Mytilus edulis: one gene and its partner. The protein of the gene in region 2 purifies or fractionates together with the protein of the main gene of each other region. This does not show direct contact. Links are inferred from orthologs where the notes say so. Each region holds a gene or a part of one and is shown on either strand. Other genes may lie near its edges.

The links.
Region 1: the proteins of vesicle transport protein USE1-like (region 2) and sec1 family domain-containing protein 1-like purify together in Homo sapiens (affinity purification with mass spectrometry; 3 studies listed by BioGRID and IntAct, counting the BioPlex papers as one, with this or other methods). This does not show direct contact. The link is inferred for Mytilus edulis from reciprocal best matches to the Homo sapiens genes USE1 and SCFD1.

What each region holds. Positions count from the first base shown.
Region 1 is NC_092350.1:47,219,338-47,228,290, forward strand, and holds sec1 family domain-containing protein 1-like, read left to right. Parts: upstream 1-5,320; 5' UTR 5,321-5,362; coding exon 5,363-7,267; 3' UTR 7,268-7,319; downstream 7,320-8,953. UniProt on the Homo sapiens protein: Plays a role in SNARE-pin assembly and Golgi-to-ER retrograde transport via its interaction with COG4. Involved in vesicular transport between the endoplasmic reticulum and the Golgi.
Region 2 is NC_092347.1:63,337,542-63,347,129, forward strand, and holds the start of vesicle transport protein USE1-like, read right to left. Parts: upstream 3,527-9,588; 5' UTR 3,412-3,526; coding exon 3,316-3,411; intron 1,960-3,315; coding exon 1,910-1,959; intron 1,574-1,909; coding exon 1,495-1,573; intron 828-1,494; coding exon 659-827; intron 1-658.

The DNA of each region.
Region 1 (8,953 bases), on a different chromosome or scaffold from region 2:
AAAGGTCAGTACAATAATCAACAAATTATTTATTTCATATTGAATCATTCAGCTAATTTTCATCAAACAAAATTAAAGTTAAAACAGCCAGTCGCTGTCCACAGTTTTCATATGGGTGGAAGGTATGCTGGATTTTGGGGTTGGACCATAATAACAAGTCATATGGTGATATTTGTCAATCATGGAATCCCACAAACTTACAAAATAATATCAAATTAAACGATTCTTTTTGGGCAATTATTTGTGTTTCTTACTACGGTACTTCAAGAGGCATTTCTATATTATAATGATGATTATTTCACATGAAAAAGCGACATTTTATGGAAAATATCTAGTAGCGATGCATTTATTTTGTCTGTTTTTACTTAGTAGTTTTGTAAAATAACATTTCTAGTCTTTGTGGTACTTAAAAATCATAATTCAAAAGAAGTTTCTTTATAAATACATCGATGTTCCATTCTCAGTTTTGTGCACAGGCACTGATCTCAGATTCCCATCCCCCATATATACCTTAAAAAGTGTTATATACAGGTATAAAGAAAAAAAATCTGAGACAAGTGCCTGTGGTTTTATGTACTAATGTTTTTTTTTTCTTTGAAAGATTGTATACTGTTAATAGCTATGATTGTTACTGTATATTGTATTAACTGTGAGAGAACCATAAATAGTAGTGGGAAAAAATGTTTGATATAAATTTAGTTGTATGAGGGGGCAGTTTTTTGCAAAGACTGTCAACATACTTACAATACATACCTCATTTGTATATAGAATGAGCATTATTCATACTTTCTATGCAATAACCACTCATGTACAGTTTCAATGCATATCAGGATTCAATGTTCTAATATAGATAAAGATCTGCTTATATACAACAGTATTTGCTTATTTTCTACATTATAAATCTTATAAATCAGCCATATATTAACAGACATGATGTTTTCCATTTTATTATTTGTTTTTGCCTATTACTTAAAATGTACTGTTTTTGCTACTTTTGATGAACAAAAGTTTCAAAACAAAGAAGACCTGACCAATTTTAATAGTAAACTTAAGTAAAAATTTTGAAGAAGCAAATTGAAGATCTGGAACTAGAAACTTTTTGGGAAGTAAAAATTTTGAAGAAGCAAGTTGAGCATTTTGAACTAGAAACTTTTTGGGAAGTAAAAATTATGAAGAAGCAAGTTGAACATTTTGAACTTGAAACTTTTTGGGAAAAATTATGAAGAAGCAAGTTGAACATTTTGAACTTGAAACTTTTTGGGAAAAATTATGAAGAAGCAAGTTGAACATTTTGAACTTGAAACTTTTTGGGAAAAATTATGAAGAAGCAAGTTGAACATTTTGAACTTGAAACTTTTTGGGAAGTAAAAATTTTGAAGAAGCAAGTTGAACATTTTGAACTTGAAACTTTTTGGGAAGTAAAAATTATGAAGAAGCAAGTTGAACATTTTGAACTAGAAACTTTTTGGTAATTCAAGCTAATGTTAACCATGTCATTTGATTCTTGGCTCAATACGAGCCATTTTGGGGTAATTTAAGGGTAAATTGTCATTTTATCATTTACTTTTGTTTTTTGGATAAATTAGCTTTGCTAGTTTAATTAAGAAAACTGATAAGATATTCATAAATTTTTTAATAGTATACTTCATTAGAATTTAGAACTCATAAAAAATGTTTGAAAAGTCCAATTTAAGGAGATAGACTTAGGTTAAGGGAAATAACTCTTAAAATCATCAGTACGTTGGTGTCAACCATTTTCAAAAATATATTCTAAGCTTCTACGTTACATAGTTTATTTTTAATCTGTTGCAGGTAAATGCTTTAAATACATTGATGAACTTGACTTTAACAAATGCTTTACTGATTTAAAGAGTTATCTCCCTGAACCAAGGTCTACCCCCTTAAGTATCAAGTATAGTGCTTCTAATATTATATTCATCATACTGTTTTATTCTTGAGAAATAGATGATGATTCATGCTTTACATTGTATTTTAACAAGTTGAACATTGTCTAAACATTTTATCTTGGATATTTTGATAGCAACATACCAAAAAAGATACAATATTTTTAACAAACAAAAGTAGAAAACATCTAAAACAAAAAGTCATGATATAGAACATAGCATTGCACAAAATTCAATGATATACAAAATATAATTTTCTGTCTAAAGTATTTATTATTTATTTGGTTATCATATGCTATCATTGTTTGAATTATGATAGCGGAATCTCTTTTGAACATTACATATTTTGGTATATAATATATTTAAACACTTTATTGGAGTCATACGAACAATATTTTACATTACCTATGAGGGGTAATAATTCCTAGCAAACATGGGTTAAATTAAATGTTTTAATATTTGATGCTGGAATTTTTATCCAAAACAAAAATTATCCTTTCTTTGTCTCATATTCATGTTTTATCAGTTTATTTGGAATCCTTTATTTTTATATTGATGTGACTATTTATTGTATATTTTTTAATATTATGTATATACAAATATATCAATAACTTTGTACTACATTTTCATGCTCTTTTAACTTCATACTTAGTGCAATATTAAAATATTTGTTGTGTAGATATGTAGATCAAATTTGTGTCTCTTAGCTATAAAGGTTGTTTTAAAGTCTTTCATTCAACCTTTGTAGCTAAACATACTGTATCAGTTTTAAAAAATCCAGAGGGAATTTAAAGTCTTTTTTATGCTATAACATTTTTATAAACAAATATTCAAGTGATATTAGAAAATAATTTGTTTAAATACAGGACTTAATTATAGTATAAACAAGAATTGAGAAAAACCTAGAAACAAGATAACTTTTTTCTTCATATATATAAAAACTGTTTGCATGAAAGAAAAATCATGAGAATTTTCAGTATCTTTCATCTATAAATTTCTTTAATGTTTTTTTTTATTAAATTTCAGAATTGAACTGAAATAAAGAAACGAGAAATGTAATTTGAAAAAAGTTGAACACCAAAATAAAAGACAACTTGTTTTATATATATTATCTCGTTTTCTAAAAAGCAAAAAACATTTTCCTTTTCCCTGTATCTGCATATGAGTAAGATTTCATTAGTTCAGTAGTTTTCTTGACACATTCAACCAAGGATGTCAAAAGTTAAATTTGTTGAAAATTTGTATTGTGGTAAGGGAGATAATCGCCTCTATTTAATAACTTACCTAAATCTAACTGTACTACACAAATAGCAGTTATACTTGGTATCCAAGTAGGTTATTCAAGACCAATAGTAACAAAAATTGACCTTTCTTACAGTAATTTAAAAAATATAACAGTAATCAGGTTGTTAGACACTTTTGTTGTTTTTTTATGTAACTGTTTCTTTTGATGTTTATATATTCACATATATATATATTTAGTTTATATCATGGCATAATACAAAACCATCAGAGTAACTAACAGAATCAAATAAAAATATCTTGCCTATTTTTGCATCTTATTTCATTAGTACATATAAAAAAGAAGATGTGGTATGATTGCCAATGAGACAACTATCCACAAAAGACCAAAATGACACAGACATTAACAACTATAGGTCACCGTACGGCCTTCAACAATGAGCAAAGCCCATACCGCATAGTCAGCTATAATAGGCCCCGATAAGACAATGTAAAACAATTCAAACGAGAAAACTAACGGCCTTATTTATGTAAAAAAATGAATGAAAAACAAATATGTAATTAGCAGTGAATATGGATGTTTGTCCATGGTTCATTGGTCAATGTTAAATTTCTGCTGTTTGGTGTGTATTAGATACTTTAAGCAAATTAATCTAAGTCTATATTTGGTATATGAAATGATTTTAAGGTGTTATAAGTCCATTACTCAGATATATTATGCAAAGGGTAAACTATATTAATTGTATGAAATTATTGCAAGGTGAACATGTTTGTTTGATGGGGTTGATCCTAATCCTTGTTATAATTTTATGGCTCAAAGAAATTGATTCGATTTAAGGCCTATTATGGGTTTGCTAGATGCTTTATAAGTAGTAGTATATAGCTGTATTTGATGCATGAAATCATTACATGGTTTTCTGGTATGTTCGTGTTTTACTGACCTCAACTTTGACCTTGATTTAATTGATTATTGTTCAGGTATGAGTGATTGTGGTAAGATCTATTTCTTAGTTACTATTAGCATAAGCTTTAATACAATTGATGTACAGAATGATTGTATGGTGTACATATAAAAAAGGAGATAAGGTATGGTTTTCACAACTACCCACCAGAGGCCCAACAAGTATGTAAACGATAGTAACTTAATGTCACAACAAACCATCAACAACAAGCAAAACCAATATGGTGTAGTAAACCTTAAAAAGCTAATTTCTAATCAATGACAAACCAGCAAACTAAATTCTAAAAATATGACAGATAACAACCTGTCTGCCATAAAGGGTTTATCTTCCCTTTCCTCATTTAACTCATTTAACTTCATTTGTAAAGGTTAGATTTCATGATAAGTGTTTTATAAGCAAGAGTTCATTATTTAGTGTATGGAATGGTTGATCTGATAAACTTGTAAAGTGTAAATGGCAGTACGACAGGGTTACTGGGTTATCTGATCTTGTCCATATTTATACGGATCATAATTTATTGATGTTTATAAACATTAAATAGTTTATATTCAGTCTATTTTAAACCAGCACCCATTATCCACTTGCTGGTTTTAATCTGACTGAGTTTATTTGGTACTTGTAGTAAAACTTTAATGTGAAAGACTTTCAGCATAAATACAATTGTGAAAAATAGGCAAAACATTTGTGTTAAATTTGCATAAAAAATGATAAAAGCTAAACCTTGTTTTTCTTGTGTAACTTTATTGAACATTCTTCAAAAATTTCTAAATCTGCACCTGCACATGGCATCTTCTGTCTTTTTCCTATTTTATAAAATAAAAATAAAAAATTGAGATTGATGAACCTGAAGATTAAGATAATCAGTATGTTGATGGCGATTTAATATATGGCTGGAGTAAACAAACATTTTTTTCAGAATAATGCTTGATGAATTAAGTGGTAATGCGGCTGCTAACAGAGGATCAAAATGTCAGAATTTTGTCTCAAAAAGACATTTATCCCTCATTTTCACAAGCACTTGTCTCAGAATCCCCCTTTGTATACCTTAATATAAGTTAACTGTGTTATAAAGTGTTAATTCAGAGACAGTATCTGTGCCTAATAATTTCCCTCCACCTTTAAATTCAGTTCAAGGGTTCTGGAAAACAATCTAATGACTTGTGATTAATCAAAGTGAAAGTGAAAGTAGAGTTGTCCTTCTTTGGTCAATGTCATAAATGCCACGTCAACCTCCAGGTGGCAGTAACAACAAACATGGCTTCCATTAGGGAGAAACAAGTTCTTGCTTTAAAACGAATGCTTAATTTTAACACTCCTCCAACAAAATCAAGCTCAGCAGAGCCACAATGGAAAGTACTCGTCTATGATAGGTTTGGTCAAGACATAATCTCGCCGTTATTGACCGTCAAAGAGCTCCGCGAGTTGGGAGTAACTCTTCACTTGAATCTTCATTCAGACCGGGATTCTATTCCAGATGTTCCGGCTATTTATTTTGTATTACCAACTGATGACAACATTAGAAGAATATGTCAAGACATACAAAACCAGCTGTATGACTCGTATTACATGAATTTCATATCTGCTATTTCCAGGCAAAAACTTGAAGACATTGCCCAAACAGCTATTCAATGCAATTGTGTACAACAGGTTTCCAAAGTTTTTGATCAATATTTGAACTTTATTTCATTAGAAGAAGACATGTTTACCCTAAGAAATCTTGACAAAGAACTATCATATTATGAAATAAACAAAGGTGACGTCAAAGACACTGAAATGGAGCAGATCATGGATACTATCGTTGACAGTTTGTTTTCTGTTTTTGTAACACTGGGTACCGTGCCCATCATTCGATGCCCAAGAGGTAATGCAGCAGAAATGGTTGCAGAGAAATTGGACAAAAAGTTGAGAGAGAATCTTAGAGATGCCAGGAACAGCTTTTTCACTACTGACAATATACAGGCCGGACAGTTTAGTTTTCAAAGGCCATTATTAGTTTTGCTCGATCGAAATCTAGATTTAGCCACTATGCTCCATCATACATGGACATATCAAGCGTTAGCACATGATGTATTCAATCTTCTCCTGAACCGAGTTGAAATAGAAGAATCTATAGAAGTTAAAGGTCCAGCTGGCAATATGATGACAAAAAAGAAAAAGAAAAGCTATGATCTGAATCCGTCTGATAGATTTTGGGAAAAGGAAAAGGGTAGTCCATTCCCACAAGTTGCAGAAGCTGTTCAAGAACAGTTAGAAACCTACAAGACACATGAAGATGAAATAAAGAAAATGAAATCGGCAATGGGTCTTGAGGGTGATGATGAAGTAGCATTCAGTATGATGAATGATACAACCGCCAAACTTACTTCAACAGTAAGCTCATTGCCGGAGTTGCTAGAAATGAAGCGTTTGATTGACATGCACACTAACATCGCTACTGCCATGTTGGAACACATAAAGCACCGTAAACTAGATGTCTACTTTGAAATGGAAGAAAAAATGATGAGCAAGGCACTTTTAGACAAATCGCTGATGGACATTATATCAGACCCTGATTTAGGAACACCGGAAGACAAAGTCAGAATATTTATCATAGCATTGATCTGTGGTCCACCAATGAGTGATGCTGAAATTGATCAATATTGCGTAGCCTTGACTGGTGCTAACTGTGAGGTAGCACCAATCACGTTCATTCGTAGATGGCGAGCTTATAATAAAATGAATGCAGCGCCAAGTCAATATGGAGGAGGGGGAACAACAACTGTAGGAATGTTTAACAAATTAATGAATAAAAGTTCACAGTTTCTTATGGAAGGAGTTAAAAACTTGGTTATTAAAAGGCACAATTTGCCAGCCACCAGAATTGTGGATGGACTTATGGAGTCAAAGACATTGCAAGAAATTGAAGACTATCGTTACTTTGACCCAAAACTTTTACGTTCAGATTCATCATCAGTTCCTAGAAACAAATCTCCATTCCAAGAAGCTTACGTGTTTATGATCGGAGGTGGAAATTACATTGAATACCAAAATTTAATAGACTATGCCAAATCAAAATCATCATCAAGTGCTGGACAAAAGAAAATTGTTTATGGGTGTAGTCAGCTTGTTAATGCAGCAAGATTTTTAGAACAGTTGGGCCATCTTGGCCAAGAAATGTAAATTTAAGGGGGGATAAATAAATGTATTGTGAAATTAAATATTAATTTATTCAGTTTTTGTAATGAATCCTTTTTTGTGTGTCAATGGTTTGACAAGCTATACTTCATGTACATGTACATTTTACAACAATATAAAAAAAGAAGATATTGTATGATTGCAAATGAGACAACTCTCCATACATGTACCGGTATATGCCATAAGAGACAAAATTACACAGACATTAACAATAGGTCACTGAATGGCCTTTGACAATGAGCAAACTCCCTACCACATAGTCAGCTGTAAAAGTCCCTGAAATGAATTATGTAAAATAATTATGATTAAGAGAAGACATATAGCATAAATTCAAGCTGTATACATCCATTATTTTGATCTCATTTTCATTTAAATCGGTAAACTTTAAAAAAAAAAACATTTTGTCTTGCCTTTTGTGTAGCAAAATTTAATGGATCAGTGATCGAGGTAAAGTTTTTGTGATCAAGTCCATTTTGTAGATATGCATTATGGCAACTTATTTTGAATTTTAAAATTTTTGTAAGGCTTTCTTGTCTGACTGACAGGTTTTCTCTAACTTGGCATCAATTTCATGGTTTATAGGTCAATGTAAAGTTGTTGAGGTTTGTTGTTTCTCAGACACTATAAACAACTGATTTATGTATTGTTATATAAAAATGAGGAGATGTGATATAATTGCCATTGAGACCATTCTCCACAAGAGACCAAATGCAACAGAAATTTACAAGTATAGGTCACGGTGAGGCCTTCAACAATGAATAAAACCGCATACTGGTAGTCGGGTACTTGTATAAAAGGTTTGGCAAACTTTCTCCAAAACTGAGGTCGTTAACGCAAAACTGACATCAGTTGAAATGATCAACAGGTCAAAAGTCTGTCTCCCTTGGAGTTTTAATGAATAGAATATTTAGCAAAAACAGGTATTCAGAAAAGTCGTGGAGGAAATCCTCAATTGAAACCTTACATGAGTTATTGCCCTTGAGATATGATTTTAACCCATTTATTCAGACACCATATACAGAAACTGTTTAGGGTAAATATGATTTACAAATAAAGTCAACACAGCTGAAAACATTATGGGCCCTCTATAGGAGTTATTGCCCTTGAAAGATGGTTTTAACTTAATTTTTCATCTTTTGCAGAAACTATCATTTAACTAAAACTTTCAAGTAGCAAAAATGTTAAATGCATATTTAGGTCTTTCCACCTTTTCATGTGGAAAGACCTATTGAATTTCTTCTGATTATATTTTTATACGACTGCAAAAATTGAAAATTTTTTGGTCATATATTGGTATCAAGTTGGCGTCGTTGTCTGCGTTGTCGTCGTCAAAAATAAAAATTAAACTTAGTTTGATTTTAACAAAAATTGAATCCTTGAGGTTCTTTGATATGCTGAATCTAAAAATGTACTTAGATTTTTGATTATTGGCCAAGTTTTTAAGTTGGTCCAAATCAGGGTCCAAAATTAAACTTTGTTTGATTTCATCAAAAATTGAATAATTAAGATTCTTTGATATGCCAAATCTAACTGTGTATGTAGATTCTTAATTTTTGGTCCCGTTTTCAAATTGGTCTACATTAAAGTCCAAAGGGTCCAAAATTAAACTAAGTTTGATTTTAACAAAAATTGAATTCTTGGGCTTTTTTGATATGCTGACTCTAAACATGT
Region 2 (9,588 bases):
TATCATTTCAAATTAAGAAAAGGGCTTTGCAGAGAGCACTGTATAAATTTATTTAAGGAGTTGAGAAAATGTAAAGGGATATATCATGAAGTTCAGCTTAAGTACGTAATCTGACTTGAAAAAAATTATATCAATGAAATTGAGTTTCAAAAGGGATGATCCATGAAGCCTGTTTCCAACAGTTGACCTCTAATCCTCTATATATAAAATTGCATTAGTTAATGAAACAATTCTAAAACATTTTAAAGCTTCACTGCATTTATGTTTGATGGATATGTAACGTATAAACTAGCCAGATCAGGCATGGTTTATATCAATAAGCTTGGTTAAACATTGTTAAATAAAACCTATAGTTGACAAATATTTGTTTTTTACATGCTTTTTGTAACAATATTTTATATTCTGAAAATAAAGCTTTATAAATTAAGTTCCCAAGAGGGGCGTTTCTGCATTTTCCTTCTTGAAACCGAGAAAATGAATACCGGGTAGTTGAAAACAAAAGGAGATAAAAATGTTTACATATGCCATATACATGTAGTTATAAATTTCTATAGCTTTATGATCATGTCTTGAGTAGTACATATAGGCATGCAGATTTAAGAAGTACCGTTACACCTGAACTGTTGATTAAAACATTTAAGTTTTTAGACTTACTTACCATCAAGTTTATCTGTCTCTGGTCCCAATAACTCTTCTCTTAAATCTTTTTGATGTCTAGCAACTGTTTTTTTCTGCAATTCTGCTGATGAAACAGAGTTATGTCCCTTAGCAGATTTTGCCACATTAGGAAGTTGTTCTGCAGCTAAAGCTTTCTCTGTTACAGTTGGCTGTTACATGTAAAAGAAAAAAATAAAGAAATAAACTTTAACTTCTAATTAACAAAACCAAAAGTATGTTATGGCATAATTATTAAAAGTTATATAACACTGTACTCCATCTATTATTCTAAAAAAAAAATTACATATTTTCAACAGATTTAATTGTTTTTTGAGCTTTAAATTAACTGAATGTTGTCTATTATATATTCATGCTGTTACTTTATAATCACAATACAAATGAACTAATTATTTCAACATATATATACATGTATTAAGAATGATATTGAATAATTCAATTCATATTCAATGTTACATGATAAATAACAAGAATGTGTCCCCAGTACACGGATGCCCCATCCGCAATATCATTTTCTATGTTCAGTGGACAGTGAAATTGGGGAAAATCTCTAATTTGGCATTAAAATATTTAGAAAGATCATTTTATAGGGAACATGTGTACTAAGTTCCAAGTTGATTGGACTTCAACTTCATCAAAAACTACCTCAACCAAAAACTTTAACCTGTCGCTGGACAGACCGACGGACAAACGGACAGATAGACGGACAAACGGACGGTTGCACAGACCTTAAAACATAATGCCTATAAATGGGGCATAAAAAGTTTTATTATTTTGGTCAAATGACTTTCAAAATTCCAGTTAAAGAAAAACAACTACCATTTTTTCTGCCTGAAGTAAACCTTTCAAGAATTCCACCTTACGAGTGTATTCATTTAGCATATCCTGACCTGGCTTCCTGAAAAATAATCAAAATGAAATCAAAATGAGTATTAAATTATTTTTTTTAAATTTCCACTATAACATTGCATGTATATTATATATATATATATATATATATCATATGTACATGTAAGTTTATAAAGTTGAAGTATCAAAAGGGACATGTTTTTTAGCATCTTGGAAATAAGGAAGTAATAACATATGATATTGTGAAAAATCTAGTGTTTACTTCATAAAAAAAAATTCAAATGCCAGTTCAAATTAATTGTAACCATGTCGCATTTTTCATTTTTCGCAATAGTAAAAACATCGCAATAATTACTTAATTGACAGTAATGTAAATTATACTTACATTGAGGACTTCTTAATCTGAGATAACTGGTCTTGCAGTGCAACAACATACTGGAATTAATAAAAGAAATCATTACATAACATCATTCATTTACCATGTACATGTACATGTATACCTTAAAATGTTTATATTAACAATACATACATGTGTTACTTATAACACTTACACAGTGTGCTTGTAACACAAAATGATATAACCAGGGTTCACAAATTTCATATAACATGTATAGAGTGAGATTGAGCAAAAATGTTTTGCTTTCGTGTATGACTGTTTAACCTGATTTACTACCCTGGTATCGCGCCCAATATACTTTCGCACCCTACACGTTCGCACCTCGCACGTTGGCACCCAAGGTCCGTTTGCATTCTACACGTTCGCGCCCAATTTTAATTCAAATTCCAGTTGAATAATTGGAAAATCATCATTGTTGTTTTTAATTGCTTTCGTGTAAATACTGAATGTATTTATAGCTTGGTATGAGTAAAAGATTGAAGATTATAAATGAAAAACACAAAAGATAATTGTTTTTAACAGCTTGGTCCCTTTGATCTGAAACAATGAAACAATAAAATATAGCAATACACTATTATAACCAAAACATGATAAAATTTATTCAAGACTCAAAAAAAAAAAAACGTAGTCAGAATCTCACTTCATTTTGAAACAAGTCAATGAAACAAAGTTATACATGTTATAGTAATACACTAACCAAAACATGATAAAGAGTTATTCAACACAAAATAAAACGTTGACAGAATCCCACTTTATTTAGAAAGGAATATTTTTTTTTTAACAATACACTATCCAAAACATGATTAAGATTTATTCAACACAAAAAAATGCTGTATCACTTTATTTTGAGACAATGAAAACAATAATACTTATAAGAATACTACTTGATTACAAAGTTGAAATAGGGCGCGAACATGTAGGGTGCGAACGGACTTTGGGTGCGAACATGTAGGGTGCGAAAGTGAAAGGGGTCGAACATGAGTGGGTGCGAACGTGAATGGGCGCCAATGGACCCGGATTCTACTACCCTCATGCATGTAAATATTAAAAAGCAAAAGGGGATAATTTGTGCTATACAAATGTAAATTTGTACATGTATAATTTCCATATTCAGTGATTAGTACGAGATTACTCTGACGTCCAACGGCTGTTTTGCCAGACAAGCTTATCTGGCAAAACAGCCTTTGGACGTCAGAGACAGAGTAAAATTATCTCGATAATTTCAGTGATGAACATGTATTTTTCAGCTCCTGCTTTGTGTTTTTGAATATAACTCCCCTCCCCTGGAGTCAATAAAGGTTTTTTTTCTGGGACGCCTTCGTCTTGCCAGACGTCATAATTATTTGGACTAAACTTATGATGTTATAGCTGTCATTTATCATATGTCTGTTTACCTTCTCAATTCTCCAGTCCCACAAACTTCTTTCTTTTGCCATATTTTCACATCTCATTAACAACCGACTGAAATTTATTTCAATCCTTGATGACATCCTAATTTTTCAAAGAAACAGGGCTTTTACTTAAATGATAAATCGGGCTATCTTAATAAATGTCCACGCAATCACTGTGAAGTCACCATGTTGCATTCTACTTTGCTCTTTTGGGTTTTGGTCTGATTTGAAAGGAGCGTTCGAATTTTCAGGCGACACTTCCGCTGTCTTCAAGAATATAATTCAATGAACTTTTTGACTTATTTTGTCTACAGTATAACACAAATTTTTATATAAAATATAACACAAGTACAAATAATAAAAAAATGGAAAAATAAGAAGATTGTATAAGATACTGAGTATGTAGGCCTATTGTCTAGAACCAGAATACAAAAGTAGAACACACCTAAGAGATATGTCTAAAGTTTAAAAACCCAAACTATATCATATAAACTACGAAGGACCAATTACATTCATATAAACATTAATAAACAAAAATAAAACTGATTCGCATGCACTTTTAACACCAGAAATACTCACATAATTGTTTAAAATTATAAATGAGAGAATATTATAGAATACAATTTACTAACATATTGGAGTGGAGATTCTGTCATGTATAAAGAGAGATAACTCGTTTTTGATTTGAAGAACTATATTTCTGATATTTCTGGTTTTATAATTTGTATATATATTTTCAATTTTTTTTATGTATAAAATCTACCTCATTATACTTGATATTTTACTTCATTTCTTTGCATGTTGTGTATTATCACAAAAATAAACCTTGCTTATTTTATGATAATTATTGTATTATGATGTTTATGTATCTTGCCAAATTGGTAAATTTATACAATATATATCATATATTGTCTATTAAATCTCTATACAGAAGAAACAAAATCTGTAAAAATTCTTTCTAAATCATCCTATCTTGTAAAAAAGACTTTTAAGTTACATTTTTTGTTAAAAACAAGATTGTAACTTTGTACACTGACATTTCCACAAGGAACTTTTTGATAAGCAAAACATTCACGGTAAGAGGTCTCATTTTAAACAAAAATAAGCATAATCTAGGACACATTTTTAATAATGAGCTAGCTGAGGCCCACCTTCGGATGCGGGGATTTCTCTCTGCATTGAAGACTCATATTGGTGGCCTTCGGTTCTTTGGTCGGGTTGTTGTCTCTTTGACAGATTCCCCATTTCCATTCTCAATTTTATACTAAGCATATACAAGTGGATAAGCTTTATACACACTGGTAAGCATTATAAAAACTAACTATGATTACAACAACTATTAACTATAAACAGTAAAAGTAAGTATACCATGTTAAACACATGTACTATAAACATAAAATGCTGCGATATTGTCAAATTTTAAACACCAATTAACTCAAAAGCGTATATCATGTATATCTTAATAAAGAAAAATAAATATATATTTTATAAGATCTATAAAAGCCACGTCTGTAAAACTACCAGTTTTCTATTTTTTAAACTTATTTTTTTAAGAAGGCCATTTAGTGGCATATATTTCAGAGAAAAATACTAGCATATTTATAGGACACGGTACGACCTTCGCCTTAGGTCAAATTCCATACATTGTAGTAAGTTATTAGTAAAGGTCCGCCTGTGAAGACGAAATGTGAGAAAATTCTTGAAGAAAAAAACCCAACGACCTCATCTATATTTACCAGTTGTTTTTAGTTATTTTCAATTGATTTTTCTTTTGTTATTACACGTCAACAATCTTTTATTTGGCTAGCAAAGTTTAGATTCGTACTAAGCTGGCAAGTGATTTTTGTAATTATTGTAAAGTATACTCACATTGAGGCATTTTTAATCCGAGATAACTTGTCTCGTTGTGACATGTGTAATAAAAAGAATTTATAATTTATCAATTAAATACCATGTAGATTTGTTTGACTTACTGGTAAAACCTATTCTGCTATATGGAGGCGAAATATGGGGTTACGAAAACATAGATATACTAGAAAGAGTTCAAACAATTTTTTTAAGCTACTTTTACATCTTAAGCCATCTACTTAAAACGACTTCATTTATGGAAAACTGGGTCGCTATCCCCTAGAAATATATATAAAAACTAGAATTGTATCTTATTGGACAAAGTTAATTACCGGTAAAGAAAGTAAGCTCGCTGCTGTAATGTTTAGATACCTTTTCCAGTTAGCACAAGAAACAACATTTCGATCGCGATCGTTAGACAAGATGAAAAGTATTCTAGACAATTGTGGATTCTCTTACTTATGGTCACTTAAACACATCAACTAACATTAAATCGATAATTAAACAAAGACTAGAAGATCAGTTTACACAGTCATGGTCAGGAAAGGTAAACGATTCGCCTAAAGCCCTGAATTATCGCCCATACAAGACATCACACAATTTCGAACACTACCTTAACGTACTTGATGATAAAGATGTAATAACAATGTCGTGGTTTAGGACAATGAACTGCCGATTGAAAATGGTAGATGGCAAAACATTCCCCGAAAACAGAGAAAGTGTCCGTTTTGCAGAGTTGCTATAGGTGACGAATACCACTATGTAATGGAATGCAACAGTCTCTTGACAGATAGAACACTACTTATTGACAAGAAATACCTAACGAACTGTAATGTCTTAAAATTTAATGCTATTATGAACCAAAAACAGAAATCTAAACTTCGAAAATTGTGCCAATTTATTAGAATTATAAATGACAAACTGGATTCTCTCTGATGTTAATCTGTCGGCTATTCTGATCATACCGTTGTAAAAAACTCATATTTAATGCTTCCTCAACAAATGTACATATATGCAAGTTATGTTAACTAATGTGTTTTTCTGTATACCTTTGTCCAACTTAATTGATACCAGAATAAAATGATATATAGATATATAATAAAATTTGTCTGTTTGTCTTTTTCAATTATACCCATGGCGTTATCAGTTTATTTTCGATCTATGAGTTTGAGTGTCCCTCTGGTATCTTTCGCCCCTCATTTACAAAGTGTGCTATAGTGACCTAATATGATATATAATTCGGATCAGTAAATTCCACATGGGACGAGAGCCAGCGATCTTGTTTTATTCAGAATTATTTCATCCATTTCCTTATACAATTAGTTGTTTGTGCATGTAGTTAACAGCCAAAATTAACGCTGCTGAAGCACTCACCATGCACTTAGATTTAAAAGAAACGAATGATCATGAGATAGCTATTTTTATGCGTTATAATTGACACAGTTCAACTAATAATTTTTAGTCTGATTTTGATTTTTTATATAGTGTAGAGATATCTAGTTGCAATAATATCTTGTTACCTCATTCGTACACGAAGAATTGCATTCTGCTACCTCGTATAGTATCCATAGTTTTGCAGGAGTTAATAAAACCACGGATTAACGTACACTTAACTGAAGCAACAATAAAAATAAAGATCGCCTGTTGTTATGTCAAATACCGCGTAGAATCTCAACATTGAGAACACCAAAGGGTGACTGGGGAATAGAAATATGGTCACTTGGTCTTCTTCCGACCGGCAGTAAAACGCTTGCCGAAGTGGGGCATCCGTTTGACTGTGCGGGATGTATCAACCTTGCAGCCACGTCCCGTCAGAATGGGGCGCTTAATCCGATGCCTCGTTTAAAGAGAGTACCGCGCTCTTTGCACGTTAAAAAACCCTAACAAAATTCGTTAAGGGGTGGTCCGTTCCAAGGCAAAATTTCTGTTCCTATCCAATACACCCTTATTTTCAAGAGGCAGTCCACATTCCCCGAACACATCATCCCAGATGGCCTCTAGTATTACAAGACCTACCTATTGTATTTTTGTCAACTTGTTCTCGTCCTGAACATGCATGAACTATTTACCACTGGACGACGTTAAGCAACCAACAATCAATCAATCAACATAGAGAAAACCACATAACGTATAATCCGCTATAAAAGGTCCCGACATGAAAAAATGAGATACAATTCAATCGAAAAAATAAGTGCATAATTTATAACAAAACAGTTTACGAAAAGACAGTATTACAGACATGAATTATACGACAACCCCTGATTACAGTCTCTTGATTTGGTCCAGACACATAGGTGTGGTTTGTGAAGACAACTCTTCCCTTAAACGCGCCAGTTATGCAACAGCACAACTTCTAATGAACAATATTTTAGCCAAAACATTTTTTGGTATTGTATTGCTTTTGCAGAAAGCTATTTGTGTCTTAAACTTTTCTGTTCTTAAAAATATTGCCTTTTTAGCGGACTTCCAACCAGTAGAGTAAACCGTTCGTTTAATTGAGAGCTGCTCGAATCTTAATTTCTTGGGGAAAATAGTTTGTTACAGAAGAGAATTGAAAAATGTTTTTCTTTAAAAGACGATTGCGTGCCTTTGAAATAAGCCTTCCATTTGAAAAAAAATATCATTTATAAAATGTTGGGTTGGTCGGTCCTTCAAATTTGATTTTTATTATGCTTCAATAAATAGAATGAAAAATAATTAATGTCTTCATAGGAAGCAAACACAACTAGAACTTTGATAGGTAGAATAAATCTGTCAATTTTTGATATTTCATCAGTGTCGTAATAGATAGAATAAGTATTTGTACAATTACTACTCTTGACTTAATTATTGATTAATAATTATAACCATGTTGTTCAATCACTGCTTCTCGTATTATTGGGATCAATATAGATTCGCTTATTTCAAGTTTACAACAATACTGCGATGTTTCTCTTCTTTGAATGATTAGTTTGTTAATTGTTACAAACTTAATATTTATGACGTTGTTGTATGACATCTTTCACGGTGTATAACCATAACGGCCACTTCTGGCGGAAACGGATACTGCCACCAAAACCAACGGCGACTTTCGGAGTTTTTCCTATGATGGACTCGGACGACGATCCGAATAATGATGATTTAGACAAATCTGTTAGGTAAGTGATACAATTGCTGTGTCCACGGAATCCTCGGATGCTTTTTTGTCATCTCGAAACCACTTATCCCAACGGACATGTATTCCTTTTATATTTGATTAGCATTTTAAACTAGTGACTATGTGTTGTGCAACTCTTTTTCCATCAAAATGATAATTATTTCCGCTTTAATTAGAACAGTATTAGCCATACTTACATTGTTTTGACGTAAACTTTCTTTTGTTAATAACATTTTGTGCATAATTCAAGATTTAAAGTCAAACTCCTTCCTTTTCAAAATTATTAGAAACGGGTCTAGGTGAATGGGTCCGTTTCTAATAATTTTGAAAAGGAAGGAGTTTGACTATAAATCTTGAATTATGCACAAAATGTTATTAACAAAAGAAAGATTACGTCGAAACCATGTAAGTATGGATAATACTGTACTAATTAAAGCGGAAATAATTATCATTTTGATGGAAAAAGAGTTGCACAACACATAGTCGCTAGTTTAAAATGCTAATCAAATATAAAAGGAATACATGTCCGTTGGGATAAGTGGTTTCTAGATGACAAAAAAACATCCGAGGATTCCGTGGACACAGCAATTGTATCACTTACCTAACAGATTTGTCTAAATCATCATTATTCGGGTCGTCGTCCGAGTCCATCATAGGAAAAACTCCGAAAGTCGCCGTTGGTTTTGGTGGCAGTATCCGTTTCCGCCAGAAGTGGCCGTTATGGTTATGCACCGTGTCTTTCAAAAAACTAGAGGAATTCCGATTTGAAGTTAATGATCGCGTGCTTTCTTTTATTTGGAAATTAGTACAAATGTACTTTGATGTTTCTCTTCTTTGTATGATTATTTTGTTAATCGTTACAAACTTTTTAAATATTTATGACGTTGTTGTATGATATCTTTCAAAGAACTAGAGGAATTCCGATTTGAAGTTAATGATGGCGTGCTTTCTTTTATTTGGAAATTAGTACAAATGTACTTTGATGTAAACAGAGATGTTGGTTTGAATGATAATGATACAATTATCCACAAGATACCAAAGGACGTGGACGTAAATAATTATTATAGGTCACCATATGGCCTTGAACAATGAGCAAAACCCATACAATATTATCATATTACATGACATGATTCATGTCTGACGTACAAGCAGCCCAAGGGCCGAAGGCTCGATGGCTGATAATTACTGAAGGCTGATAATACATCCGATATGACAAATGACGTATTTTGATTATTTTTTTTTTAGATTTAGGAGACTAGATTTTAAGGAAGAAGTATATATTTCCCGTTTAG